Regions from separate parts of the Mus musculus genome. Here all the other regions are reported to be linked to region 7. Evidence: microRNA targets listed by miRTarBase, many of them from high-throughput screens and not tested one by one. Region 7 holds a microRNA gene; each other region holds the end of a gene's coding sequence.
Evidence for each region. Region 7 holds the annotated microRNA mmu-miR-26a-5p (UUCAAGUAAUCCAGGAUAGGCU, at 1,396-1,417, opposite strand). A microRNA usually pairs through its seed, bases 2 to 8, with sites in the 3' UTR of a target mRNA and lowers its output. Matches are read on the target gene's strand: a 7mer-m8 pairs with bases 2 to 8, a 7mer-A1 pairs with bases 2 to 7 and ends in A, and an 8mer does both.

Region 1: the mRNA of Dcun1d2 is a reported target of mmu-miR-26a-5p. Seed matches in the 3' UTR shown: 7mer-A1 at 2,193-2,199.
Region 2: the mRNA of Kpna2 is a reported target of mmu-miR-26a-5p. Seed matches in the 3' UTR shown: 8mer at 3,433-3,440.
Region 3: the mRNA of Dnm1 is a reported target of mmu-miR-26a-5p. The part of its 3' UTR that is shown has no 7-base or 8-base seed match.
Region 4: miRTarBase lists Rnf138 as a target of mmu-miR-26a-5p. Seed matches in the 3' UTR shown: 7mer-A1 at 3,178-3,184.
Region 5: miRTarBase lists Dmxl1 as a target of mmu-miR-26a-5p. Seed matches in the 3' UTR shown: 7mer-m8 at 871-877, 7mer-A1 at 1,456-1,462, 7mer-m8 at 1,468-1,474 and 7mer-m8 at 2,458-2,464.
Region 6: miRTarBase lists Map2k4 as a target of mmu-miR-26a-5p. Seed matches in the 3' UTR shown: 7mer-m8 at 1,800-1,806.

The regions. Positions count from the first base shown.
Region 1 is chr8:13,254,156-13,258,222 of GRCm38, reverse strand. It overlaps Dcun1d2 (DCN1, defective in cullin neddylation 1, domain containing 2 (S. cerevisiae)), which reads left to right. Exons shown (of 7, transcript NM_001024504.2): 7 at 247-2,260. The coding sequence ends at 326. It overlaps Adprhl1 (ADP-ribosylhydrolase like 1), which reads left to right and starts at 4,061. Exons shown (of 7, transcript NM_172750.4): 1 at 4,061-4,067.
Region 2 is chr11:106,985,311-106,989,377 of GRCm38, forward strand. Kpna2 (karyopherin (importin) alpha 2) reads right to left here. Exons shown (of 11, transcript NM_010655.3): 10 at 4,014-4,067; 11 at 3,319-3,669. The coding sequence ends at 3,577. Among named protein-coding and RNA genes, the nearest start is that of Gm39424, 12 kb to the right of the region's middle.
Region 3 is chr2:32,306,879-32,310,945 of GRCm38, forward strand. It overlaps Dnm1 (dynamin 1), which reads right to left. Exons shown (of 23, transcript NM_001301737.1): 22 at 3,573-3,609; 23 at 1,593-2,186. The coding sequence ends at 3,588. It overlaps Golga2 (golgi autoantigen, golgin subfamily a, 2), which reads left to right. Exons shown (of 26, transcript NM_001080968.2): 26 at 1-1,035. Among named protein-coding and RNA genes, the nearest start is that of Gm23363, 9.4 kb to the right of the region's middle.
Region 4 is chr18:21,025,675-21,029,741 of GRCm38, reverse strand. Rnf138 (ring finger protein 138) reads right to left here. Exons shown (of 7, transcript NM_207623.2): 7 at 1,518-3,656. The coding sequence ends at 3,588. Among named protein-coding and RNA genes, the nearest start is that of Rnf138, 26 kb to the right of the region's middle.
Region 5 is chr18:49,962,158-49,966,224 of GRCm38, forward strand. Dmxl1 (Dmx-like 1) reads left to right here. Exons shown (of 43, transcript NM_001081371.2): 43 at 16-3,316. The coding sequence ends at 240. Among named protein-coding and RNA genes, the nearest start is that of Gm33335, 65 kb to the right of the region's middle.
Region 6 is chr11:65,687,176-65,691,242 of GRCm38, reverse strand. It overlaps Map2k4 (mitogen-activated protein kinase kinase 4), which reads left to right. Exons shown (of 11, transcript NM_009157.5): 11 at 439-2,999. The coding sequence ends at 552. Among named protein-coding and RNA genes, the nearest start is that of Gm30786, 29 kb to the right of the region's middle.
Region 7 is chr10:126,992,893-126,996,959 of GRCm38, reverse strand. Mir26a-2 (microRNA 26a-2) reads right to left here and starts at 1,430; the gene lies at 1,347-1,430. Ctdsp2 (CTD (carboxy-terminal domain, RNA polymerase II, polypeptide A) small phosphatase 2) reads right to left here. Exons shown (of 8, transcript NM_001113470.1): 4 at 3,851-3,952; 5 at 3,052-3,108; 6 at 1,013-1,105; 7 at 749-934; 8 at 1-599. The coding sequence ends at 474.

The sequences.
Region 1 (4,067 bases), not on the chromosome of region 7:
CGGCTGAGGCCTGAGAAGCCACCATGTAGGCATGATCAGTGAATGTGGTCTCGAGGACATCAAGCCCACCACTCACTCACCCTATTTCCTGGAACAGAAGTGACTCAGCGAGTCATGTGATCAGACACAAGTTGCATAAGCTTCAGATTCCTTTGTTTCTTTAGATGTTAGAATGGGGAAAGAATATTTTTAATATAAAAATACTGGCATGAGACTTATTTTAAAAATCTGTTTGTTTCCCTTTAGGAGCATGGCCTGTCCTTATAGATGACTTTGTAGAATACGCACGGCCAGTGGTCACAGGCGGGAGACGCAGCCCTTTCTAGATGGAAAAGCCGGATGGCGGGTAGGATGGGCGTGTCTTGGAGGAGACAGCTGCGTGGGTTGCTGTGTGCATTTGTCGCTGACCTCAGAGTCTTCCTCGTCCACTCATGAAGCAAACCCTTACTCTGCTTAAAGGCTGCAGTGGCTGACGTGCAGACACACAGAAGCGCCTCGGGACATCGGGGACATGGGCAGACCTAGTGCTTTAGAAGCCGCCTGCATGACTTGTCTTTAGAGAAAGCAACGTAGACCCTGTTCGCAGGGCTGAGAGCTTGCTGTCCAGCTCCTGACGTTACGGTGAGCACCAGCCGTTTCCAAACTGGAATCATGTTACAGTTATGCTTCAAAGCAGCACCTGTGTCCTCAGAATGACGTATCTTTTACACAAGTCCAAGCTGTTAAACACACGCCTCAGGAAGGTGGCCTTGCCCGAGAGCCCACTGCTTTTAATCTTGGTATTCAAGATGGATAGTTTTGAATTATCAAATCTCTAGATTTACTAGATGCTTTGCTTTCATTTTCTCTAGAAGAGACTGTTGCAGTTTGCACAGGGTGGCTGGCACAGGATAGGTCCAGCAGGTTCATATCCAACTGTTGACAAGCTGGTCGGCCAGTTCACTTCTAATGAGGTTATCACTATAGGCCTGGATGCTGCCTCCTGAGAAGTTTCTTATTTTTTTAATATATTTTATATTTAAAAGGACGTTTTCCATGAGAAACACTTCTTTTTGAGTGATGAATTAGATTTACAAATCAGATGCACCAGTTCCCGTCACCTGTCTATGATGTTTTCAGTGCCCAGTGTCCAGCCCTTCGAAAGCCATATACATTTGGAAGCAAACATACGTCATCCAGAAGGAATCCACACCCAAAGCCCTGTCTCACCTGTCTGCGCCTGGGTCTGTGCCGTGTCACCGTGCCGTGTCACCATCTGCTTTTCCAGTGTTTTTCTGGTCAGCGTGCACTCATGCACACAGGCATAGAGGGCCTGGATCCTACCTGCTCATCTGGTGTCAAGCTTCGAACATCACTGTGCTGACCCTACCTCACACTTGCCAAGACTTGGTGTCACACGCGTGCCTTGCTGCCCAGCCTACAGGGCCGTGGGGCAGATATGCTGGGCCCACTTCAGGACAGGGGACTCGTCAATGCCTAAACACAGAAAGCATGCCCCATATGTGCTGTAGGGCAGCTCCTGGTACTGGGGCCTGCTCCTGGGGTAGGAAGCAGCTCTGAGGCATGCGTGCCCTACGAGGTGGACATTGCTAATGAACGGGAATCTCACAGGAGGTGGAGGGTCAGAACTGGAAACCAGTCTCCACAAAGCCAGCCCCTCGGTGCGTGAGATGACATCACTAGTGGCCTGTCAGCGCAGGTCTGTCAAGGGACAACCGGGACATCTTTGAGAGCGTACGTAACCAAACTGACTTAGTGAAAACCTGGAAAACAACTTCCTTCCAGGCTTTGTGGGTTCCTGACTTGTAGTTAACTTCTGTTCAGAGAAGTTTATAGATACAAAGAACTAAATCTTGAAGGTCTGCAATACATTCTTATTTCTAAGATTTAACATTCTTCAGGGAAAGGAGCAGTGATATGATTGAGCAGGTGAAGGCATGTGCTGCCCAGCCTGAGTTCAGTCCCTGCGAGCCACGTGGTGGAGGGGAGAAGTGACTTCTCCAGTTGTCCTCTGACCTCCACACATGTGCCATGAAATGCATGTACTCCCCACACACATGTACTCACACAGTAAAACAAATAGGCAAACAAGCATAAATAAGTTAAGTTCTATGGGATTGTCAATAGGCTGTGACATACCAGTAATTGATAAAGGCTTTTTAAACAATTGTGCTTTCTGTTCTCTTATTTACACTTGAATTGTGCATGTTACAGAAATGCTGAAAACTTCAGACATAGTAAATAAAATATTTTCCCTGGTGTTGTGATGTCCTTTATTCTTGGTTGCACAAATACCTACCTGTGCACATCAAGGTCCTGGGCTTTGTCTTGGAGCAACAGAAAGAGCCTCTGTAGTGACAGCAAGCAAGCCCTTGCCACATTGCATCCTCACCAGGTAAGTAGCATGTTGGAGACAGACAGACAGCTCCATCCCTCCAGGTCGCTTTCTCTGCCCAATATGCTGGAATGTGGGGGCCGTCTATCAGAATATGCTACTACAGCTAAGATTATATCTAGAACATATTTACCCAACACCACAGGTTTAGGAGATGCATGTAATCTGTTCCACTTCCCAGAGGAGACAGCATACTCCTTGTCTAAGTGACGTAGGTGCTGAGTTGTGGTAGTTTAAATGTTCAGTGCAGTTCATACTTGATGCTCTGTGGGCGCAGAAGTCAACTTCCCAGCTTCTTTTGCTGTGCCTAGCATCCTGTAACAGAAGGGGCTCTGTGAATGTCAGGTAGACAGACTAGTGAGGCAGCCTTATCTTGTGTGTGATTTTGACCGAATAGTGTAGAAGTGGTTTCCAAACATCCACAACAAAGCCTCTCCCAAGAGTCCTTGGACCTCACTCCTTGAGCCAGGTCACACTTGTCCATAAGTTGGTACACCGTAAGTGGGAGCTGGCTCCTGCTGGCTTCTGCTGTTTGTCTGTCTGGATGGGAGCTATGTACCTTCTGGATTTGTGGGACTGCTTCAGACTGAGAGTTGGGCCAGCAGGAAGGGCGTCTTGTTACACACTAAAGTTCTTTCCAATTGTATTCTAAGTCCAAGTGATGCACTGCCAATTCTGGGTGACAGATTTACGTCACAAGAGGGCCAGCAATGTCTGAGGCTGCAAGGTTTGTGCTTGAGACAGGGTATAGGGAGGTGGTTGACCTAGGTCATTTCAAACCAAGAAGCCTGGCTTTATAAAGTGCACCTATCCATCCTCATTATTTAATAATTCCATGAGCAGGCAGTGATGTTTACAACAAGTGAAGTTTGTTTGTATAGACACGCATCACTAAAGGTTAGCACTGGAGCCCCTTACTGGACACTAAGTTGTGAGAGAACACTTTTTCACAGGAGCTGGGAGTTCTCGTTCTTGTAAGGTTTTCTCTCATGTCATGGTTTTAATGGAACTGAGGATCAGACCAAGGGCCTTGTATACATTAGGTAACATTGCTCTGTCGGGTCTACTGCAGCCCACAGCCCTCAATTTTATAATAAGGGATGGGTTTTGTTTGTTTTTTGTTGTTGGTTTTTTTTTTGTTTTGTTTTTTTTGTTTTGTTTTTGAGGCAGGGTTCCTCTGTGTAGCCCTGGCTGTCCTGGAACTCACTCTGTAGACCTGGTTGGCCTCAAACTCAGGGATCCACCTGCCCCTGCCTCCTGAATGCTGAATGCTGAAACTAGAGGCGTGTATCACCACTGCCCAGCCAGAAAAGTTTTCTAAAAGCATAAAACTACAATGGGTGGGCCTCAGTTTTATGCTGAGTGAAAGAGGGCAGACAAGAAGGGGCAAAAGGAGTGTGTCTGTCTGAAGGTAGGGCAGAGCAGATGGTCAAGGAACCGGGATGGAGCAGTATGTTCTCATTGTGGTATGTCGCTCTGCCAGCAGGGGGCACAACTCACCAAGGTGCTGACAGAGTAGCACAGCTCACGGGCTCTGAGCTGGGCTGAGCTGGCTGGGTGTACACTGGTGCCAGCAGACTCCTTTGCTGGAGAGCCAGCGTGTCCCAAACAGCTCCCACGTGGTGAGCTCTGAGCCTTTATCTCATTGGTGCCACCTGCCAAGGCAGGGAAG
Region 2 (4,067 bases), not on the chromosome of region 7:
GGGGGAGGATTCAGGTATCTTTTTTTGTTTGTTTTGTTTTGTATTTTGAGACAGGGTTTCTCTGTGTAGCCCTGGCTGTCCTGGCTGTCACTTTGTAGACCATGCTGGCATCAAACTCAGTAATCTGCCTGCCTCTGCCTCCCAAGTGCTGGGATTAAAGGCGTGCACCACCATGCCCGGCTCAGGTATCTTTTTTGCACTCACTCCATGCTTTGGAGTGGACTTTGACCATGCTCCAATGATTATTTGGGTAATGCAAATTGGACATGCTGTATTGGGGGGGGGAATGTGGGGACCCAAAGGTGGGAGGGTAGATCTGAGAGGAATAAAAAGGGAGTGTGAGGGCTGGTGAGATGGCTCAGTGGGTAAGAGCACCTGACTGCTCTTCTGAAGGTCAGGAGTTCAAATCCCAGCAACCACATGGTGACTCACAACCATCTGTAACGAGATCTGACTCCCTCTTCTGGAGTGTCTGAGGACAGCAACAGTGTACTTACATATAATAAATAAATAAATCTTTAAAAAAAAGTATTAAAAAAAAAGGTAGTATGATATATAAATTTCCCCCAAAATCAATAAAAATGTTTGCGGGAAAATGTTTATTTTTATTTATGTGTCTATGTGGGGGAGAGTCACGCATGCCACGTGTACAAATGTCACAGGCATGCAGGTTCCCTCAGGCATAAGAAGGGAGCTGGAGTCACAGGCGGTGGTTATGAACCACTGATGCAGATGTGGAGGACTGAACTCAGGCCCTCTGAAAGAGAGCAGGCTGTATGCCTAACAGCTGTGCCATCTCTCTGGCTCCTCCACAGAGCCTCGATGTACAGCTGGGGCTTCCCTGAAACACCAGTGCTTCCAGGCTCTGGCTCGCTCAGGGCAGACAGCTACCACCGAGAGCTTGGCAGCAATATACTCATCAGTCCAGAGGGCGGGGTGCATGTAATTCACATACAGTCTAGGAAATTGTCCCAAGGATTTAGTAGGAACTAGGGGTTTGCAGACATCAGAATGATACTTTCAAACTATGCCAACACCACTGCATTTAACACACAAATGCTTGCAACTCAACTGCACTGCTGCCCCTCAAAGCCCTACTTGATAGACTGGGTGGTTTTTGTCATTTCAAAAAAAAAAAAAAAAAAAACCAGCCAGGTGTGGTGGTGGCACACGCCTTTAATCCTAGCACTCGGGAGACAGAGGCAGGCGGATTTCTGAGTTCGAGGCCAGCCTGGTCTACAAAGTGAGTTCCAGGACAGCCATGGCTATACAGAGAAACCCTGTCTTGAAAAACAAAACATTAAATCCTTGATGTTCTAGAACACTTTTCACTAACACTCCTAGGGGTGGGAGTGGGGAATATTGGGAAGGAGGATGACATCACACGGCCAGGTTTTTGTTCATTACAAATTAGGTCAACAACCCAATTTCAAAAGAAGGCCCCAGTAATTGATATGACCTAAAAGCTTCCCAAAACCAGTCCACTGGGTTTGGGCAAGGGCAGAGGGAGGGAACTAGCCAGTTGTTGTAGCCCCTAATGCCTCTGAACGTGGGCCCACCCACTCACTGAGGTTTCCAGGCTTTGTATAAACAAAACCCAAGAGCTTGGTGGGATGGAAAGAAACTAATACCATCTGGGCAAAGAATTTTGGCTTCTTAATTTACTTAGTTCTGGGAAATAAAAAAATAAAAAAATAAAAGCTAAGAAAAGCCAAATTGAGAAAGTGAAAACCTGACAGTCTCATCCGCTGAGGCTGACCTCAAGCTTACTGCCTAATGGAGGATGGCTATGAGCCCTGCCTCCTCCTGCCTCCAGCGAACCACTGTCATAGTTAGCCATGGTTGTCAACTTGACCTCAACTGAGCTGCGGCCTCTATTGTGTCTGTAGGACCTTTTCTGGATTGCTCATTGTCACAGGTGGGCTAGCCTACTGTAGTCTATGGAAGGTTTCTGTTGAGCAAACCAGAGGAAACAAGGCACTAAACCGGGTTCTTCTGCTTCAGGTTTTGTCTCCAGGTTCCTGGCCTGGCTTCTCTGTAACCTATAAGCTTAATAAATCCTTCCCTCCACAAATCCCTTTGGTTATGGTATTTTTATCTCAGCAACAGAAGCACACAAGGGCAACCACCACGCCCACTTTACATGGTGCTGGTAATCCAACCCAGGGCTTTATCTGTACTGGTCAACTGAACTATAACCCAGCCTGGCAAGTTTGTTTCGCTTTGAAAGTCTCACCATATAACTCTGGGTGATCTAGAATTCATAAAGCCACCTGCCTCTGCCCCTATGTGCTGGAAGCAATATCCTTTTTATTTAACAAGATGGAGAGCTGGAGAGCTGGGTCACTGGCTAAGAACACTTAGCCAATCTCTAGAAACAGCTCAGCAGTTGAAAGAGCACTTGTTCCTGGAGAGGACCCAGGTTCACTTCCCAGCACCTACATAGCAGCTCATAACTGCAACTCCACATGCATGTGTACACTGACATACATACTGGCACGACATCATAAATCAAAACGGAAGCTCATGTGCACACCTTTAATCCTAGCACTTGGGAGGTAGATGCAGGATGATCTAAGTTTGAGACCATCTTGGTCTACATATTATGCCCTAAGACAGCCTGGACTACATAGAGATCTTGTCTCAAACCAAAAACTTTACAAGAAACCAGGGCTGGAGACAGCTCAGTGGTTGAGAATACTTGCTGTTCTTACAATAAGACCAGAGTTCATTGTGAGCATCTCCATTTGGCAGTTCCAACGTCAACTCCAGTTCCAGAGGCTCTAACAACCCTCCTCTGGCCTCTGTAGGCATGCACATGATATACATGTAGACGAAACACAACTAGAAATTGATACCAAAGAAATTTTGGTACATCACTAAACCTGTACCTATTTAGACACTGACACCATGAAGAGGAATCAGTGGCTGTGTAGTACTTCCATTACACCCAGTGGATATGAAAAGCCATTCTGCCATAGAGAATTTGGCTCACAGGGTCATGAAACAAAAACATGCGTTTTGGACTTCTGAGGAAAGTCTCTGCTAAGAATTTATTCTCATAGGAAGCAATGCATTTAGATGTCAACTATATCCTATTACCTCACTGGAGTCATACCGGTAACACATCCAGGCCTCACACTTTTTCAAGACAGGGATTCTCTGTGTAGCCCTGGCTGTCCTGGAACTCACTCTGTACACCAGGCTAGCCTTGAACTCAGAAATCTGCCTGCCTCTGCCACCACTGCCTCACTTTCAATCAACATCTCCTATTCACCTTTCACTTCCAACAGTAATCTCAATTAAGAAAACAGCAAGTCAGAGTAAAGAATGGAACTTTAATCTTTATTTACAGGACATGACAGGGTACGAAATTCCACATAGAAATAAATTCAGAGGACAGCTTCATAGAGTATGTACAGTTTATAACTGTTCAAGTATAGTTTCTTTTGTAAAAAGTGCTACAATAACAAACCACATTTAAAAAGAGTTCTTAGTAGAGAAACAGTAAGACAAATCTATGAGAACACAGAATAGCACAGCACATAGCTAACAACTTTGTGCCTTAGCTGGACATTAGAAGTTAAAGGTCCCAGGAGCTCCATCCTGAACTTGGAAGGCGAAGCCTTCAGAGGTAGTTTCTGGCACCACATTTTGATCTTCCTCTTCCTGGAAATAGTAAGGTAAGATATAACCATAAACATGGTACATCTCTAGCAGAACCCTGTCTCAAAGCCTGCACCTAGCAGAAAACTTGTTGCCAAAGCTTAGCTAACTCATGAATGCTGGGACAATTCCAGGCTGTTCATATAACCATCATATACCATCAAGCCAGTACTAGCCACACGTGCGCGCACCCACCCACCCACACACAGCAAATCTTGGCTGCACTGATGCTTGTTCTTTGTGATAGGGTAATGTAAGAATCATATACAAAGGATCAAGCCCATTGGCTTGAAGGTACTTGTGAATTCTCATATCCTTTCCATGTTGTGGACATGGCCATTACTTACCTCCACTGAGAAGTACTTCTCAATTAAGTTCAATGAGGCCTTGTATACAGACTC
Region 3 (4,067 bases), not on the chromosome of region 7:
TAGTGAGTTTGAGGCCACACTGGGCTACATGCGACCCTGTCTGAAAAAACCAAAAGATCAGGCTCCTATCTTAATGGGGGACACAGACTGGTACAGATCTGCCTCTTAGCCAGGGCAGTTTTACTTTGTAAATTCCTGTTACAGAAAGAACGCCAGAGACTCAGTGATGGAGCAGACTGTGCTGGGTGGCCTGGGGGCTTTCTCACCAAGGAGGGCCTCAGGCCTTACTCAGGACTCTGGGGCAGAACAGAGTGGCAGCATTCTCGTGCCCAGGTGCAGTGCAGGCTGGTAAACTGGCCTAGCATTCAGCAGGGCTTCTAAGTTTTCACCGGCTCAGTCCTCCCTATCCTCCTTTTCCTCCCCGCCCCCATTTTATCTTCATTTTCTTTACGGAGTGTCTCCTGTAGCCCGAGCTGAGCCCCTGCCTCACCGCTGTGCCTGGTGGTTGGCAGTGCTAAGCAGGCACTCTACCAAGTGATTTACCCCCAGCACTCCCTGCCTTTTTCCTTTGTGTGGTGATGCTGGGGATGGAACCCAGGGCACAGCAGGTCCCCAGATCAACTCCCATCTTCTCAGAGGCACTTTAGGGCAGTGGGGCTGGGCAGCACTTCATGGGTCCTCAGGCAGTTGGGGCTAACTGCCTCAGGAAGGCATCCCACTTTGGAGGGCTTCCATCTTTTTGAGGCACTTTGGGACAGGGAAAGTGGGTACCATTCTCTCAGGCCTTATGACAATTGGGGTAACTACGCCAAGCAGGACAGAGGCTGCTGGGGCAGGGTGGCCTTCCCCTCCCCCGGTGTACATATTGTACCTGTGTACTATTTTGTATATACCGGGGTAGGGACACCCCTGTATCATAGTGGAGGTTGGAGCTGGCAAATGGGAAGAGCTTCTAATAATCACTTTGGGCTGGGAACCTTATTTATTGGTAGTGTTAGGTCAGAGGGCAGGAGGCGGAGACAAGGTTGTGGCACCTGCTGATGCAGCTCCTCTTTATTTTGCTTTTTACTTGGGAAATAAATGGATTTAGCCATACTGCTGGGCCTAGGGTGTTCGTCATTGGTTCTGGGGTTAGCCTCAGGCTGGCACTGAGCAGGGAATGTGTCCTGCCTGGAGAGAGCAGGCTTCTGGCCTGTATGGAGCCCAAGGTCTGAAGTGCCTGGCAGGGCTGATTGACACCTATCACCTATACACTGCCTATTGAAGCCTAGGGACCCCAGGGGGAGTACCATGGGGCTACAGGGACAGAGCTTCCTTACTGAGTAAGAGAGTCAAGCCTGACATATAGTATACATAGGTGGGACTCGGGGTGCAGCAACTAAGGGCGCTGACTTCCAGGCCAGGCCTCTTACATTCCGACCCTTCCCCTTAGTCTGTCCACACTAGAGACCTGTTTTGTTCTTTAGGCTGTTCACAGCATCCTGGCTGAGCTCATGATACTGCCCCCTAGTGGTGTAAGCAGGATTCGTAGGATGAGGACCTGCTAAACTCACAAGCACCCTAGCAAGGGCCTTTCCTCACCCTCCATTCAGTGCCCAGTTTACACCGTCCTCTCAGCCCCAGAGAATACAAACCAGCAGAGGTACACGCAATTCCCCATGATCCAGAAATGGGTTTTATTCTCAGCCAAGAGACAGCAAGACTGGTGGCTACCAGAGAACTGCACAGCTGCTGCTGCTGCAGCATCCCCTTGCTGCAGGGTTGGGATGGCCAAGGGGATGGCTGTTCACAGGCCAGGAGGACAGGGGGGCTCACTGGAGGTGGTACACTGGAGGGGGGGTTGTCAGGATGACAGCGTTCCCTTGTTGGACCACAAGACTCCACAAGGACAGCATGGTGGTTGATTCTGACACTACAGGCGAGGCTGTGTCAGCCATATATATGTATATATATGTATATATAGGTATATTTATAGATATTTATAGAATGTCGCAGGAGCAATACCACAGAGGGGCACAAGTTTTCACCAACATCACATCTGGATGTGTCAGCTCACCACTACAACAGACTAAGTCACAGATGATGAATAGGACGCTTTGGGGCCGGGGGAGCCACTGTCAAGTCACAGAACAGCTGTCCAGGCAGGCTTGGTAAGGGAGGTCTCCGAGGAGTAGGAGGGATCTGGTTAGAGGTCGAAGGGGGGCCTGGGGCTCTCAGGACGGGACGGACTTGCCTGACCCGATCGGCTGGCAGTTGGAGAGAAAGCCGAGAGAGAACGGAAGAGAGAAAAGGAAGGAGAGCTGGTAAGGCAAGAGCAGCCACCTCCAGCAGAGGCAGGGGCTGAGGCAGGTGTGGATGTGGGCAGGGTTCCCGGAAGAGATGCACAGTTGATGAATGAAAGGGAAGATGGGGTGCTGGGCCGTAACTAGCAGGTAGTCTGAGTAGAGGCTGGTGGCCCTCTCTTGCCACACACACGGCCTCTCACACACCACCCAGGCAATGCACCACAGGGCCTCCCTCATTTTTGCTCACTGTCTCTCATCTCACTGGCTCAGGGCCACCCCAAGCCTCAGGGAGTCCCATGTAACAGCCATGAGGCCAGAAGTGCTTGAACCAGGAGATTGAAGCTAAAGGGGATGGCTGGAGGGAGCGCTGGAGGCCCCTCAGGTGGTCAGAAAGTCAGGAGTCCTCTGAGGGGACCCTGGGGAGGCTGGGAGGCAGGCAGCCGATGCCTGCGGCCACAGACTTATAAGTCTAAGAGGGGAGCCTCCGTTGGTCGGGGGGCTGCAGGTCTCGTAGGTGAGGCTGGGCCCTTCCTGCTGGGGAAAAGCAGAAGGGTGAGCGTCAATGGCTGGGGAAGAGTTGGGACAGGGTAACCGAGATCTGTGGCCAGCCAGGCAGAACTCAAGTTGACTTTCCCAGTCAGTAGACAATGCATTGCCTTCGGCTAAAAGGCACAGGTCACTCTGAAAACAGGTCAAATGTTGGAGCTGATGGGCTGGCTCTATGTCGGGGGCTGACGAGGTGGCTGTTAGCTACAGGTGTGCAATGTCAAGGATGAATGAGATCCTCACCTTGCCTGCGAGCCCTCAGGCGCTGGCAGAAAGGCAAAGGCTCTTAAGTTGTCTAAAGTCACCAGTCAGAGCCTGGCTTTGCCAGCGCGATTCTCATGCTTGCCCTGTGGTGAATTTAGTCGCCATGCTCCTAGGCTGGAAGGAGAAAGCTCTTATCTTGGCAGCATAGTTCAGAGTAGGTATGAAGAGGGGGTCCTAACGCTTCTGGCCCCTTCAGAGGCTGAAGACACCCTCTCCTAGTTCTTAGTCCCTACACTGTCAACAGTGGTCTGGTGTCTCCAGGGAGCACCCACATCTACCGTCTTGGACATGAAACCTGTTCCAAGAGCCCTCAGTTTAAGCAAGAAGGCCTTGAGTAGTGGCGCTGAGTCCCGAGGCTCACTGGAAAGGGAAGTGAGAGAGCCAGCTGGAAGAGGACAGGAAGAGGGAGTCCAGAGCTGCAGGAGAAGGAGGAGGGGCCTGGCTCAGGGGTCCCAGGTGTCCTCAGCATGGAGCTGGTGCAGCGAGGAGGGAGGGGTAGACACACTGTTCATGCAGCAGGCTGAGAGCATAACCTACCGTAGCTGACACTCCTCAGGGGTCACTGATAGTGATTCTGAAAGACAGCACGAAATCAACAGGGCAGTTCACAAACACACAGGTGGGCCAGGCTGGGGGTTAGGGGACACACACACGCACACGCCTGGGCGTGCACACACATGCTGTGAGGCCTTAAGGCCCTGCGTGCACACGTTAACACACATGCCCACAAACACGCATATATCTCCCTCCCACCTCCCAGTGCCCAGCACCATTGCCGGCCAATACGTCGTGCAGCACGGATCTGGGACATGCAGCCACTCAGCACACAGAAGCACACGCATGAGCTGTCACAACACAGAAGCTCGCCTGCACAGAGAAGGCCTTTGCACCAGCTCCCTGCACATCCAGGCCTGGTGTGCTGACAGGGTTACCATAGGGCTCCGTAAAGGACAGGGCTTGCACTTTAGGATCCAGCTGTCATTTCTTTGCTCAAGAACCTTCCATGGCTCCCTATATCATTGAGTCTCTACA
Region 4 (4,067 bases), not on the chromosome of region 7:
AACATACTGGTTTGTACCTTAGCAGGATTGGAATACACAGTTATCTTTTACTAGCGAGGATAAGTGTGGATGGCCTCTCTCAAGCCCACAGCAGGCAAGTGCTGTTAGATGTGGAGGGCTGGTCATTCTCTTTTCACAAGGCCCTTGTATCTGTCATTAAAAAAAAATTAAATAATGGGGTATTTTCTTGCCACACTGCCATAGAGGTCAGGGAACAACTTTGTGGAAGTTAATTCTTTCCTTTTAGTATATAGTTCTAGGAATCAAACTCTAGTTGCAAAGCTTTGTCAGCAAGTACTTTGTAACTACCTTGTGAGTCACATCCCTGACCCTCTCTCTATCCCCCCTTTACTCTCTAAATACCTTTTAAAATAGATTTGTAAGTGTGTTTTACCTACATGTACAGATGCCCTGAAAATGGAGTTATGTCTGGATATGAACCACCTTGAGTCCTGGGAACAAAACCCAAGTCCCCTACAAGAACAAGTGCTCCTAACTACTGAGCCATCTCTCCAGCTCTCAATATACAACCTATTATGCTTTGTTTCCATTCTCCTTTCCCCAGTACTGTAGAACTGAAACTACAAAACAGGTATAATCGTGCAATATACCCACCTCTACTACAAACTGTACATGGATCTTTGGGTGTTTGCCAGGACACACCTTTTCTACATAAGCTACAATAGCATTACTTTGATGAGTCTATTTGAATATAAGATCTACAATTCACTGAAGATAGCAATACTTACCAAAAGCAACCCAACACAGAGATGCAAAATATTCTTAGAGCCCTATCTTGACTATAGCTGATTTCTTCACATTAAACGTGTCAACTAGCTGACCTTTTGCTTGAATGCTAACAGGACTTTGTAGCCTCCCCCAGCCTGGAGTAGGCTGACTTTGACCTTGTTGCCAATGAGAATGAGACGATCTGGGGTGGACTTAGATGGCTCTATTGTTCTGTCACCTGCCACTGCCCTTCTCCAAGACCTGCTGAGAGGCCCCTGAGATATTCAGGAGACAGCACTCAACACATCCGCCTACAGGCTGGTAACAGGCATCTAGAATGGATTGGCGGGGGGGGGGGGGGGGGGGGGGGGTGGGCCTCCTCCCTTTATAAGCACAGACTCTTAGTAAACTTTGGGGGGCCTTGAACAGAAACATGTCTTGGCCTCCATTATTTCTCTCACCGTTTCCTTCCATACAGCTCCTGCCTCCCACTCAGGTACCCACCCAGTTAGTGTGGCCGCAGCGGTTACAGGACTTGAAATATCTTGCTGAATGGACACTTTATGAAATGGCTTAATGCAGATGTTTAACACTGGAAATACATAAAAACAAAATTTTATACCCACTGTGTATTAAATTTTAACCCAATGTATAGTGGTAATATCAGCACTTAGCAGCCTGACAACTTTTTCAAGTGAAAATAATGGAAAATCTCCTACATGTTTTGCAGGGTCTTATGAGACCTAAAAATGTCTGTCTGAGGACAAATTTTAATTAAGACACACAAGTAGGAGAAAACCATTTTAATTGAAAAGTAAAGCAATACATCTCAATCAACACTGTGTTTATGGACATAAACTAAACTAAGTTGAAGGAGAAGTGGCTTTTCTAACTGGTACTGTGAAACTGATGTATCAGCATATTGCTATAGTTTCTCTCCTTTATCCTGATAGCTATTAAACATGACTACTGAGGTGCGCCCCCATAAATTAAATTCTAAAGTCAATCCTTATTCTTAATCCACTGACAAAAGAAGAATTAAAAAGTTTTTTCTATATTTAAGAAGTTACTAATGCAAAAAAAAAGATAATTCTCATGAAAAAGCTATTAATCTATTAATATAACTCATCCACAAGACTTCAAAACAGGAACCCTCTCTAGTACAAGTTTCCCTTTAAGTTTGTACATCCCAGGATGATTTAGGAGCACACTGGCTAAATAAAACTTTAAAAGTATCCAAGTTATTGCTTTAAACTAGAGGACTGTGGACAGAAGTCTCCTTTTAAAGGGTTCATCATATAGATGTTCCTAGAATTACTCTTGTATGTCAACTCAAAGTGCTAGAGAACACAGTAAACATCACGCTCAAGAAACAACAGAAAAAAAGGCATTAAGATGTATGGCTTCTTGTGAGTCTATATTACTGAACATAAATAAAGTCATTACCGTTTAACTGAAAAAGGTTTTTTACAAAACTGCACATCCAAAATTAACATTTTTATTAAATCAAGTTTAAAAATGTTCATTGTAGAAAAGTCAACAAGGGTATTAAGAAAATCAAAATATACCTTTTTTTTTTACAATATATGTATATATTAGCAGCAAACTACTTCAGAGATTTTCTTTTGCGGTTAGTTATTTTAAAGAAAGCATAACAGTGTTATGTTAGTGTGGAATGTCAGAATTCCCCCTTCACCCTTTACTTTGTGACTTGGCCTTCTCTACAACACTTTATACCAAAGATTAAGAACAAACTTTGTTTTGACTAAAATGTAGTGAAACAGTAGCTGGTAAAATCTCTCACCACACGTCAGTTATGCATCATTTTCAAACGTAACAAGTGAGCACCATTTAACATTTTTCAGGTGTAATAACAGCCAACTGTACCACATAGTATTTGGCTTACTGTTTTAAAAACTTGGTAACATACAAAATTTTAAACAAAGGAGATAAATACTTCAATCCTATATTGCTTGTCCATTATTAAAACTTTTTAATAGAAATTCTATACATAACCTGACAAACTCTAGGCAAAGATATATATGTGTATATATACATGCAAAAGTCTATGTACATATCCACATACATCTGCAACTTTGGATTTTTAAAAAACTAATTGAATGTATCATTCACTGGCTGAAAAGTTTCATCACCCAGTGAGAAATACTGACTACAAAGAACTGTGGTATATAACATTTAGGCTTACAAATTATTCAACCTAGATTGAAATAACAAACTAACCACCAAAGGAAACTTCTCTTGATGTTCTTCTAATAGCAAAAGAAGAAACATTTGTACAATATGCTTTCAAAGTAAAAATTATTAAAGAAATCTCACTAGTCTTCAAAAATACTAAACATTACATAAATACAACTTTCTTATTGTTGAATTCCTCAGCTAGAATCTATACTTTAAAAAAAAATCCCTTTGGATTATCCCACTTCACACTTCAAGTTTCCATTCTACAGCTCTGACAAATGGCTCAGGTTTATTAGCTTTTTAAGAATCACATCGTTCAGAATTTGCTGTTATCTCTGTACTAAACAGAAGGAACTATATCAAATACCAAAAACAACTTAATGAAACATTGAGAATATGTAATACAAGGAAGAAAAAGACAACAGAGATTCTCTTTTCACCACACAAGTGAAATACAACCCTTTCCATGCTGTTAAAGTAACTGTCTAGAGAATGGTATTAGGGTGGCCCACCTTTATTTTCAATTAAAAACCTAATACAGTAGACTGAATTATTATTTTTATTAATATGCACAGCAAATTACTGAAAATGGTGACTTCATGTCTTCTCCTTAAAGATGGCACTTGTAGGTTGCAAGGAGGCAGAGATGTCTATACATGTCACATGTTTACTTGAAAAGACTCTTCCACAGCAGTTTGATATTGGGTTTCCTCATCTAGCTGAAGATTCTTAAAAAAAAAAAAAAGTAATGTGTCAACAAGAAAGTTATCAACTATTCAGTTTTATCTAATGCATTACAAATCTTCATATACATTTGCATACAAGGAGTTTATGGACAGTATGCCTTAAAATGCAAGATTGAACACCATGGTATGTGTCATACTCTCAGCCACTCAGGAACCTGAGGCAGGAGGATACCTTGAGCCTAGTAATTTGAAACCAGCATGGACATAATGGGACCCCATCTCAAAAATTAATGTAACGAAATATAAGGTTTCAATACATGAACTTTAAAAAGTTTAAGTTCAGCTATAATTATTTAGTAATAACTAATAACTGTTCTGCTCAGCAGAGGATACTTTATACTAATCAAAATTATACTTAATTAAAACTAATAATATGGTAAATATGTATCACTT
Region 5 (4,067 bases), not on the chromosome of region 7:
CTTCATATCTTTCAGATTTGGAGTCTTTCGTCCTTTAGTCTTCTCCATACTTTTATCAATGAACACGCTCGGCAGTCTATTTTTAGAAATATTGGAACTGGAGTCATGCAAATTGAGACAGGACCAGCAAATCACATTTTCTCTTGTGGAGCTGATGGAACAATGAAAATGAGGATCCTGCCGGATCAGTTTAGCCCTTTAAACGAGGTGTTGAAAAATGATGTGAAATTTATGCTATAACATTTTCACAAGAGGGTATATGATTTATTACCTGTTTGTAGAAGTAGCGAGCAGATGCAATGCACAGTAATCACCTGCACCATGGATGAACTAATGCTTTCTTGTTTTCATATTTATTTTATGGAGCTTTGCCCTTGATGCACTGATGCCTTAAGAGATAACAGGTCATTCAGCGTTAGATATTATTGCCTAACATAGAGTGTATGAGTAATGTTGTATCCGTACTTATTCAAAGTATATTTTAGTAAACATGCCATCGTGTTAGAGAGACTTTGTTTTCTCATTGTTATAAATTCTGCAAGCACTGCTGCATGAAGTCCACAGACAGTAAAACCCTTAAGAGAGGTGCCGACCAAGAGAACACTCACCACTGAACTCTCCACCTTCTCACTTCTCTGTCACACAGACAGCTCTAATTGTTTTCCTGTTAATAATGAAAACTTCATATAAATACAGATAAGATAAGACATTGTCACTAAAACTGCTGTTGGGACTTCAGTGATAAGAGAATCCAAGAGTTTATTCGTTTTTCTCTTTCCCTCCTATAACCCAGAAGTGTATATGTAAATGTATTTATGTGTATGTATATATGTGTGCATATGTGTATATATATATATATCTTATACATCTTACTTGATATTGTATATACAGAAACAGAAGCTACAAGTCTTTTCATGTATTTTGTGCCATAACACCTACTGCCGCAGTATAAAACTCTTGGTTTTTTTTTAAGTTTTTAAATTATTTTAACCTTAATGTTACTTTTAAGAAGCTTTAAATTTATTATTATTATTTTAAAGATACTGAATCAAATAAGTCTCAGTAGGCAATAAAGATGTTGTGTGGCACACAAGGCATTTTATATTAAAAATTTGTCAGCAGTTTTGATGATCAGACATTTTAGTTAAATTTTGTTTTAATTTTATTTCTTTTAAGATGAATTTAGTCTAAAAATTCTAAAAATGTTATAGCAGTGTTTTTAGAATCAAATGTGAAAACAGTCAATTTAAGTATAGTATTTACAAATGTACAATGCCCTGCAGATCTACATTGATAGGAAATAAATGTTATATTTTATTATTTTGCCAAAATATTATTTTATTATAAAATTTGACCAAAATATTTAAAATTTACAATGCCTCTATCTTAAATATGATAACCCTATTTCTGTCTGTTTTGTGCTATATCTTTTCTGATTCAGAATTATAAAAAAAAACTTGAAAAAAATACTTGATTTTTAGCCAATGAGACTGGCTGTAGAATAAGTGTTTAAGGGACAGTTACATACTATTTAGCTCAAATTTATTTTTAGTTAGAACCAGAAATGGCCATTTTTATGTAATGAAATATGGAAAACTATTAGGAATTGAAGAGTCAAAGCAAAGAAATGAAGGGCTGGTAAATGAATTTTGTAATATCCTCAGGATACTTTTATTATAAAAGTGTATTGTTAAAGGTTTTGTAATTGTATTTCATATTTTAAATATAGTGAGCAAGTTACAGTGAAAACACTGTCATTATAGAGAGTTTATATGCACAGAGTAAACTGTACCTGTAAATTGTGCAATAGCAATATATGACTATTTGCCATGGAGGAATCTGTGACAACATTACAAACAATATTTTCTTTGATGTAGCTAAGTTATTTTTTAGTAATCTCTTCACAAATCAAGATTCAAAAGGCTTTAAACACTTTCCATAAGAAAGAAAATTTACTATCGTGTTTATTAAAATCAAAATGCTTCAGGGATGATCTATTGAGCATTTTAATTGAGAGTTTATATGAATAACAACATTATGTAAGTCCATATGTATTTACATCCAGAGTCATATTTTAAATAAACAATCATGCAGTGATTTTTTTCGCATGCTTTTGTTTTAAGAAATACTTCTGCCAGTTTAGTTGATTTTAATTATGTGACTTTTAAATTCAGAATTTCTATATGTGATGATTGAAGAGATAATTTAATTTCCTCAAATACCTTCTTGTTATTTTCTACAATATTTTTTACTTAATGGGTGCTCATTAAATAATTGAAATGTGTATAGAAAATAATACAAATACACTTAAATTTTCATTATCCACACAAATGAAATGGTCACATCACAATTAACTTACATGCTCTGTTTTCATAGAGTCATGTTACAGAGATTTATAACATGGCAGGTCTCATGTTCTAAAATACTGGATTTCTCTTACCACCGTGAAACACTGCTTACTTGATTTTCCTTTGGTCCCACAGTTTGCTTTTAGCTAAGATAGAACATTTGCTGTTGTGCTTACCAGAACTTTAAAGGGATTGGTGTAAACCAAGTCAGCAGGTCACCCTTACAGACATTCTTTAGTTAAAAATGAGGTTTGCTTGTTTTTTAAAACAGCAAAAATGTTCAAGTGGATCTCATTGACTGAAACAATATAATTAGACATTTCAGAAAATGCTTATACAGCCTGAAAGTGGCAATGGTATGATTAAAAGGCTAGAAACCTAGGCAAACATACGTTACAAAACAAGAAATTTAAATATCTTATGAGAAAGAACCACAGCCAGTTAAAAACCAAGTCAACTACAAGAAATATTTGTGGAGAGGTGTGTTAGTGACTCTGTATGTGGTATAACTTTTATGTTATTAGAGAAAGTCAAACTGAATAACAGGGCAGCACATTAAAAGTTAATAAAATATTAAATGGCCTTAATAGTAGTTAGTGTAATCTCACAAGAAAAAAATTATGAATAGACATAACATTTTATTGTGCTTTGAAGATAATATGAATGTTTTACAAATTTAAGGTTTGTCTCAACTGCGCATGACTATCAACACCATTTTCAAATGGTGCAAAGTTGCTTCATAGCTGTCACATTATAGTAATTCTTACAATATTTCAAACTATAATTATCACTGTATTGGTTTGATCACATTATTTTGGGATATCCTGACCTATACACATAGAACACTGCAAACTTACTCACATAAATGCATTTTGATTGCTCCATGACTCTTTGTTCCCCAGTCTTTGTCTCTTTAGATCTTCCTATCCATTGAGATGCAATATTAAAATTAGACCAATTAACAACCATACAGTGGCTCTTAAGTGTTAAAGTGAAAGAGTCTTTTGGCTTTAAATTTTAAAAAAAGTGTGTGAAAAGAAGTAAATACCCGGATGGACCATCAAGAGACTGCCATATCCAGGGATCCATCCCATAATTAGCCTCCAAACGATGACACCATTGCATACACTAGCAAGCGTTTGTTGCAAGGACCTTGATATAGCTGTCTCTTGTGAGACTAGGCCGGGGCCTAGCAAACACAGAAGTGGATGCTCACAGTCAACTATTGGATGGATCACAGGGCCCCCAATGGAGGAGCTAGAGAAAGTATACAAGGAGCTAAAGAGATCTGCAACCCTGTAGGTGCAACATTATGAACTAACCAGTACCCTGGAGCTCTTGACTCTAGCTGCATATGTATCAAAAGATGGCCTAGTCGGCCATCACTGGAAAGAGAGGCCCACTGGACAGGCAAACTTTTTATGCCCCAGTACAGGGGAACGCCAGGGCCAAAAAATGGGAATGGGTGGGTAGGGGAGTGGGGGGGCGGGGAAGGGTGTGGGAGACTTTTGCGATAGCATTGGAAATGTAATTAAGGAAAATACGTAAGAAAAAAAGAAAAAAAGAAAAAGAAAAGAAAAAAAAAAAAGAAGTAAATACCCAAAACCGATAACCTACCTGAATTTGATCCCCAGAATCCACAAATAAAAATGAACCAGCTTCCTCAAGTTGTCTACTGACCTGTGAAGACACAGATGCACACTTATACATGCATACATT
Region 6 (4,067 bases), not on the chromosome of region 7:
CAGGGAAGGGCTCTCTTGGCCTTTTTTTAAAAGTAGAAATCAGAAGGTTTGAAACTGAGAACCTTTTCAAAGATCCTTGAGCTACCAGTGGCTTACTCTAGTGTCCTAAGAAGCTCAACTGAGATTCCTGTAGTCCTTGGATCTCAGGTGGTGTGGTAAGGAATAAACAACTGTTTTCTTCTTTAGCAAATACTCCCTGTACACAGTTCTGAGACTTCACTGCCAGGGTGCAACCTCCAGATGGTGATGCAGTACCTCACATTTAAGGTGTCCACATCCATCCACTGAAATGTTCATGCGATGAGTGCCGTTCTTATGATATATTGAAGCTGTGTGTGATTGGGAGCTTATAGTACTGTATTGTATAGACATTGAGAAGCACTGACGTAGGGCTCTGATACAAATGTTTGACGCTTTCTCTGTTCAATTTTCTCGCAGAAACATCCCTTTATTTTGATGTATGAAGAACGTACTGTAGAGGTCGCATGCTATGTTTGTAAAATCCTGGATCAGATGCCAGCCACTCCCAGCTCGCCCATGTATGTCGACTGATACCGCTGCTACATCAGACTCTAGAAAAAAGGGCTGAGGGGAAGCAAGACGTAAAGAGTTTTCATCCTGTATCACAGTGTTTTTATTGCTCGCCCAGACACCATGTGCAATAAGACTGGTGTTCGTTTCCATCATGTCTGTATACTTCTGTCATCTAGACTGTGCATCCCTGTAATACCTGACTGATCACAGTGTTAGTGCTGGTCAGAGAGACCTCATCCTGCTCTTTTGTGATGAACATATTCATGACGCGTGGAAGTCAGTACGATCAAGTTGTTGACTGTGATTAGATCACACCTTAATTCATTTCTAGACTCAAAACCTGGAGACGCAGCTACTGGAATGGTGTTTTGTGAGACTTCCAAGGCTGGAAAGACACAGTCATGGATGTACTGTCTGAGCATAGAGAACCCGGGCTTGAGTGAGAAGAGCTTGCACAGCCAGTGAGACACATTGCCTTCTGCAGCTGGGAGACAGAGGAAGGATTCCCTTTCTTCACCAAGTGCAATAGATTTCCTCATCTGATAGGCTGTTGCTTTACCGTCACACGCGATGTGCTCAGCCAAATTCCCTACTCAAAATATCATGTTAAATTAGAATTTATCTTTACCAAAAACCATGTTGCTTTCAGAGAGGTCAACATTAAAATACTGAGACAGGACAGAATGTGTTCTTTGTCCTTTTCCAGCCCTGCTCTTCTCTGGGAAGATACAGGAGTCTGCCACCTGTCATAGAAGGGTGCTGCCAACTTGATGCTCTACCTGCCACCAACCACCAGGACTGAAGGAAGGAAACAGTACTGAGGGCAAAGTTTACAGATGTTTTTGATTCTGGCATTTTGTCCAGAACAGCTTGTAGCAGCTATAGATTCCCCCTTGGCCCCAAGCCTGGGACTTGAGCCATCGTAACTCACTAACAGGGAGAATTAGCTAGTAGCAATGTGCCTTGATGAAGATTTCCTGCAGGCAGCAAAACACCAAATCACAACGCTTTGCTTCTCGACATCATGGGCCAGGTCCTCAGTTTCTAACTCTTTCCCTTCCCCACAGTTCGTTGTCGCCATGCGGCTTTTGCTCAGTCTAGTATTCTGCCTTGTTTTTCACATTGGGAACCCTAACATTACCAGGGATGCTACTTACCACAATTTGTAACCCTGAATCTCTCCTGTGCTCTGGTGTTCAGAAAGCTGAGACAGCTGGGCCCAGTTGATGTTGTACGTGAGAAAGAGGCAGTCTGTTGGAGAGGCATACTTGAGCAGGATAAAGATCCTAAATGGCAGCCTTTCAGATAGGCATGTCTGACACCTGCTGAGGCCTCTACCAGTTCACTCTCTCCCTTGGAAGTGGAATTCTACCCACCTAAACCCCCCAAAAAAGACAAAACGAAAAGAAGCCACTTCATCTTATGTGCCGCTGCTTGTCTTCAGCCCATTAGCCAGGTACTGAGCGTCAGGCTCTGCATAGCAGTTAAGCAGCACTGGTAGTGGTCTGCCGTGCAGGGGATGCCTGCTATGCAGGTGATGCCCTCCCAGGATCTATTCCTGGTGGGCACTGCTGTGTCTCCCCCAGAGTGGCACTCAAAGTACTATCAAACAATAAAAGGAAAATGGTGCTGTTTGAAGTTACATCCCTTCTCTTTGGAGGATTTAAAAATGATCTATCTTTTGGTCCACTTGCCTAATTTTCCCATTTTCCACCCCTGGCCCCCTACCCTTAGATTCTCTGTGTTCCACAAGGAGACATCATGAGATGTCTTCCTTAAGCTGCACCAAGCCATTGTCCTCCGTTGTTCCCAGGACTCAAGAGGAATTTGTTTCTCTGCTGTCAGCTTCCTGTCTGGCTCAGTATAGCCTCACTCTGCCGTTATGCAAATGGAGATCAAAGTAATTCTGACTGTCCAGGAGCTATCTCACTTTCTGCTGTGTGGGCGGCCACATAAAAAGGCAATTTTAGTGTATTAATCATAGATTATTATAAACTATAAACTTAAGGGCAAGGAATTTATTACAATGTATCTTTATTAAAACAAAAGGGTGTATAGTGTTCACAAACTGTGAAAATAGTGTAAGAACTGTACATTGTGAGCTCTGGTTATTTTTCTCTTGTACCATATGAAAGTATATAAAAATTATCAAAAAGCTGATGTGCAGGGATATTGCCTTATTTGTCTGTAAAAATGTAGCTCAGTAACATAACTGCTTCTTGGAGCTTTGGAATATTTTATCCTGTATTCTTGTTTGAATCCTTCCTCTATTTAAGACATAGCCATGGAGCCCACATGTTTATGGAATAGTCTACCCTTTGCCTGCAGGTCAGTTGTAATAAATCTAGGTTGTGATGATGGTCTTGTAATCTGATTTTCTGCAGTCATACCCCGAGAAAGAAATTCAAGAAAAAATGACATTAAATCATCTGTGCATTTCATATACAGGAGAGTTATCTCCTTCCAGAAGTTTCTGGTTCTTTTCTTTATTCGTCCCCTCCCTCTGCTTCTTCCCTGATGTAACAGTGTGGCACAGCTTGCTTTTTTCTTTTAGCAGCTGTGGTGCAGTCTTTTCAAGCTCGCACTTGGGTGTCTGGACCTACTGTGGTTGTAGAATGCTGCAGGAAGCAGGTTCAGTTCTACCTGTATCAGCGTTGACAGGTGTGACCTTAGGCCTGGTGTGGCCAGCCAGGCTCCTGATGCTGAGACTCCCGGGTGAGAGGTCAGATGGGATCTCTTACTGCTACCTGAGAGGAGAGCAGGGTGAGGAGGAGACTGCAGTTAAAAAGGGCTATAGGGGTCATGCCCGAGGAGCTCCTTGGGGTGGGTGGGGTGGGAGGGTTACATAATGGAAGTGAACACAAAAGTCTCAGGAGCCTGGAAATGGTGGGAAGCCACCTAGTCTGAGTTTTTCTGCTGTGTTCCCATGGCCATTGATGCCTACTTGGTCATACCACAGTGGTTCAGCACTGTCCTGTGTCCTCTCGTGTTTGCTCCTTAGCTAAGTGTTGCCTGCTGAGGGAAGTAGTACCTCAGAGGTTCTCATCCCATTTGAGCCAGTGTCAGGAGGAACAGGTGTACTCCACGTTCCATAGGACTATATCTTGTGTCTGTTCATCTCATTTGATTCTGAGTGCAACCCCACCAAAATCACAGGGTAGGAAATTCTTTCTAAATAAGAGAACAGAAAGAGGTTACAGAAGTAAAATTCTGCCTCAGGTATTAGTAGGGAACACAAAGGCTGAAAGACTCAAACCCAAAACTATAAAAACATGCTATTTAAAACCCATTATCTAAGGCAGGCAAGGTGGCTCAGTAGATAGAGGAGCTCAACACTTGAGTTCAGTCCCCAGGACCCACATTGTAGAAATGGAGAACCAACTCCTGTAAGTTGTCCTCTGACCTCCACAGGTGGTACAGGTGGCACACACGCCCCTCCCCAGGACTAATAAGAATAAAAACCCCATCACCTTTAACAATAGAAGTGTGTGACTGAGAAGTTGTTGGATCTCCTGTATTTGTGACTCTCACCA
Region 7 (4,067 bases):
CTAGGTTTCTGTGTTTTCTGAAAGATGTGTGTCTGGGCATCCAAAGCAGCCTCCGGCCTCTCCCTTCTCCTTGGCACAGGTCTTGATGCTGAGGGAAAGCCATGGTTTGGCGAGGGAGCCTACAATAGTTTTCATGGCTGTAAAGCTCAGTAGCTCACAGCATAGCAGGAAAGAAGACAAATGACTTGGGTTGAGTCCTTATCTTTCAGCTTCTCCCCCTACTGCACAACTGGGCACCCAGGACCATAGTTTACCGGACGGGCACATGCACGCACACACACCCACACAACCACCTGGGAACTGAGCACGGGGTGCAGAGAGCTCTGGGTCTTGGTCTGATTTCCTGCTCTGCGTGTGACCTGCTTTTGTCCCACACGCCCTGGCTACTTGCAGACCCCGTCAGTGAGGCTGACCACAAAGGCACAGTGTAGCAGAGTCCCCTGTTGGGATGGCCGTTTCTTGGAGCAGGAAGGCTAAGGGGCCCGCAGCTGCCCAAGGCTGGTGTAGACATCATCAGTTCCACTTAGCTCCTCGAAGACTGGAATCAGGTTCAGCAACTCTGTATCTGCCATGTCATCAAACCAGGACTGCACAGGCACCTGGGGCAGGAAAAAGTGACATTATCTGATATTTCCTTTCCTTTCCAGTGCCATTGGAGGCTGCTGGGCCACACAGGGGTTGTGGACTCCTCTGATAAAGCCCACGGGCCCAGCCTGCAGCCACCCCAGTCCCTGATGCGAGCACTCACTGCATTTTCTGGGTGGAAGATGTAAGATGCAGGGGAGTTGTCCAGGATGACAGTTTTCCTCAGGTCCCTTCCCAGGCGGCTGAGGTCCTTGACATAGCAGCCCTGGTGGAACACACAAGCCTCTCGGAACAGGCGGGCCCGGAACACCCCGCACCGGTCCAGGAGATCAGTCACAGGGTCAGCATACTGGAAAAGAAGGAGAAGCTTTAGCCTAGGCTGAGGGCTGGCTCTCCCCTGCCTTCTGCCCCTCCTGCAGTCAGGTACCTTGGCCAAGCTGGCAGTGAAGAGAACACATTCGAAGAGCTCCCCCATCCGTCTCAGGAACTCATCGACGTAAGGCCTCTTGAGCACATATACCTGGGAGACAGAGTGGATTGCTGTAGGAACCCCACAAGGCCAAGGACACAGCACCGGCTCTGCCTGTGCACTGACAGAAAAGCAAGCAGGCCTAGATACCCAGGTCGAGACACTGAGACCTCTGCCCCACCATGGACAGCTCTACCATGTTACCAGGCTTCTGCTGCCTCAACAGGCCCAACCCTAACCCGGCAGGAAGGAATGCACTCCCAGGAGCCATCTTCATTGAGGGCAGACCATGCGCTGCCTCCAGAAACAAGTAATCAAGAACAGGCCTCATGGACGGACACAGCCTATCCTGGATTACTTGAATCCAGCCGCAGCCTCCACAGTAGCCTTCTGTACGGGATTCCAGCAGGACGGCTTGTGTAGGTCCCATCTGGCAAGAACCACAAACTTCTTCAAACACACACCCTCGTAGGTTTGTGTGCACACCACCAGCTTCGAGGACTTGCTCGCTTTTAAAGGTTCTTCAACTAACTCGCCACCCAGTCTATGATCTGCTGCTTCTTCTTTCTTTCTTACTTCAGCCTGCACAAGTGTTCCTTAGGCCCACTCACTCACTTCCTTAAAGCAGCACAGGGGGTGTGCCCACCCCAGTCCCTCCTAGCCCACATCAGCACCAACTGAGCAGAGCCCTCCCATTTAGCAGCAGAACCCTCCATGCAGCTGCAAATGGATCTATCCATCACCTTCCACTTCTTAAGCCTCACAAACAAGCCCCTTCCTCACCAAGCATTGCTCTCCTCCCAGGCTCTCCTCAGATCCACATGGCAGGCAGCCCTCTCACTCAGGCCCCTTCTGCCCATGCCAGAGCCCCATACATTCTGTACATTTCTATTTCCTCAACTAGACAGCAGGGGGTGATGGGTGGAGTAAAGAGCCACAGCTTCGAGGCTCTGTACAGAAGTTCGTAAAGGGGCAGAGGGCTACGATGACAAACCCAGGACAGTCTCAAGCTGAACTTTCTCAGTCTGAAAACAGGTCTCATGCTTGCTAGGATGTCTGCATCACTGTCTCCGGCCCTCCCCTGGGCCGACCAGCATGCCTCTGGGCACATGGTCTCTCACCAATGCCTCGTGGTCCTTAACCCTAGGCAGCAGGGTGTACACGGCAGAGCCTGGACTCTGCCACTCTGACAGATGCATATGGAGCACTTACAGAAACCAGTGTAGAGGTCAGAAAGGTGTCATAGGAGGGGCCTGGGCCAGGGAAGACACATTCAGTAGCTCTTCACCAGAGGGCACAGGAGCAAATCCTAACAGCCCTGCACACAGAGCAAGGCTCGCCTGGTCTAAGCATGGACTGCATGGGCTGGACAGCATATGCTCTTCATTGAGGAGCTGGGTTCAATTCCCAGCAACCCCTGGCAGCTCACAACTGTAACTCTGGTTCCAGGGGATTCGACACCCTCACACAGACACACACGCAGGCAAAACCAGTAATGCACATTTAAAAAGCCACAGTGATGGCTAGGACTATGATGTGAAAATGCCAGGGGCTGCACACAATGGTGAAGGCCTTTAATTAACTCCAGCCCTCTGTGAGGTCCAAGTCAGCTAGAATTAAATAAAGAGACCCTATCCTGGGCTGGAGAGATGGCTCAGTGGTTAAGAGCATTGACTGCTCTTCTGAGGTCCTGAGTTCAAATCCCAGCAACCACATGGTGGCTCACAACCATCTCTAATGGAATCCAATGCCCTCTTCTGGTGTGTCTGAATACAGTTAAGTGTACTCATATACATAAAACAAATAATTCTTTAAAAATATTTTTAAAAAAGCCAACAGTTCTTGCAAACAGCCTGACTACATAGAGACAGGAGTGTTGGCTAGAGGGAAGTGTGGATGATCTGGAGACAAGCCATCAACAAACATGGAAGCTGATGATAAACAGGTTGAGAGGCAGTTTCCCTTTGAGGCAGGGTGTATGCTGGCAAACAGCTCACCTGGTGCGTGGTCCCCTCAATCTCTACAGGCACTATGAAGTCAGCATTGTTGATCGGCTAGAAGGCAGAAGTGCACAGTGTCAGCAGACAGGAAACCCTACCCCCTGGAGACAGCCCACTGAGCAGTTCTTAGCCAGCACAGGGCAAAAAGTATCACATATTTTCCGGTTTCCCTTCTCCTTCATCCACCCATCCATCCTACCCACCAAATTCTACCTGAGGTAAGTTTCAGGGCTTTTGAGATGGGGTCTTGCTACATAGTCTGGGCTAGCCTTCACCTCCTGCTCTCATGAGCTATGCACACAGGCATGCATGCCTGGCTCTTTGGGCTAGCCGTGTTCATCTCCTGTTTCCGTGAGCTATGCACACAAGCATGCATGCCTGGCTCTTTCAAGACTGACTGGCTCTTACTGGGTAACTCATGTTATTCTGGAACTTGTGATTTCCCTGCCTCAGTTTCCCAAGCACAGGGATTGTGGAAGTTCCCTCTGCACCCAACTTAAGGCTTTCTTGAGTTAACAAACGCACCAGTCAGGAAAACCAGATAATGCTTACCTACTTTTTCCACGGTAAGTCGAGACAGACACAGCATTTAGGGTGGGGTGTGTGTGTGTGTGTGTGTGTGTGTGTGTGTGTGTGTGTGTGCCTTAACCTCTTCAGTTTGGCCTCTGGGTATCTGTGACTCCAGGGTGGCCGACAGCCTGTCCTGTCCCTGTCATTTCCACGTTCATCTGCTCACCTTACTGACCCTGCTGTGCGGCTCACACAGGCCCAAGGGAAGGGTACCACGCTGACTCACCTTAAAGGAACTGTGCACAAGGGTCTCATCCAGGTCAATGACCACGCAGATCCTGCCTTGATCTTGCTCTGTCACCTCGGGGAGCAGGCAGGTCCCAGGGATCTAAAAGCAGAGCCAAGCTGCTGAGCTGTGCCCAACAAGAAGTAAGCCCAATCGCCCCTCAGCACAACACTGGGAAGAGCCAAGCTGCCTGCAGACAGTCATCAACACAGGAAGG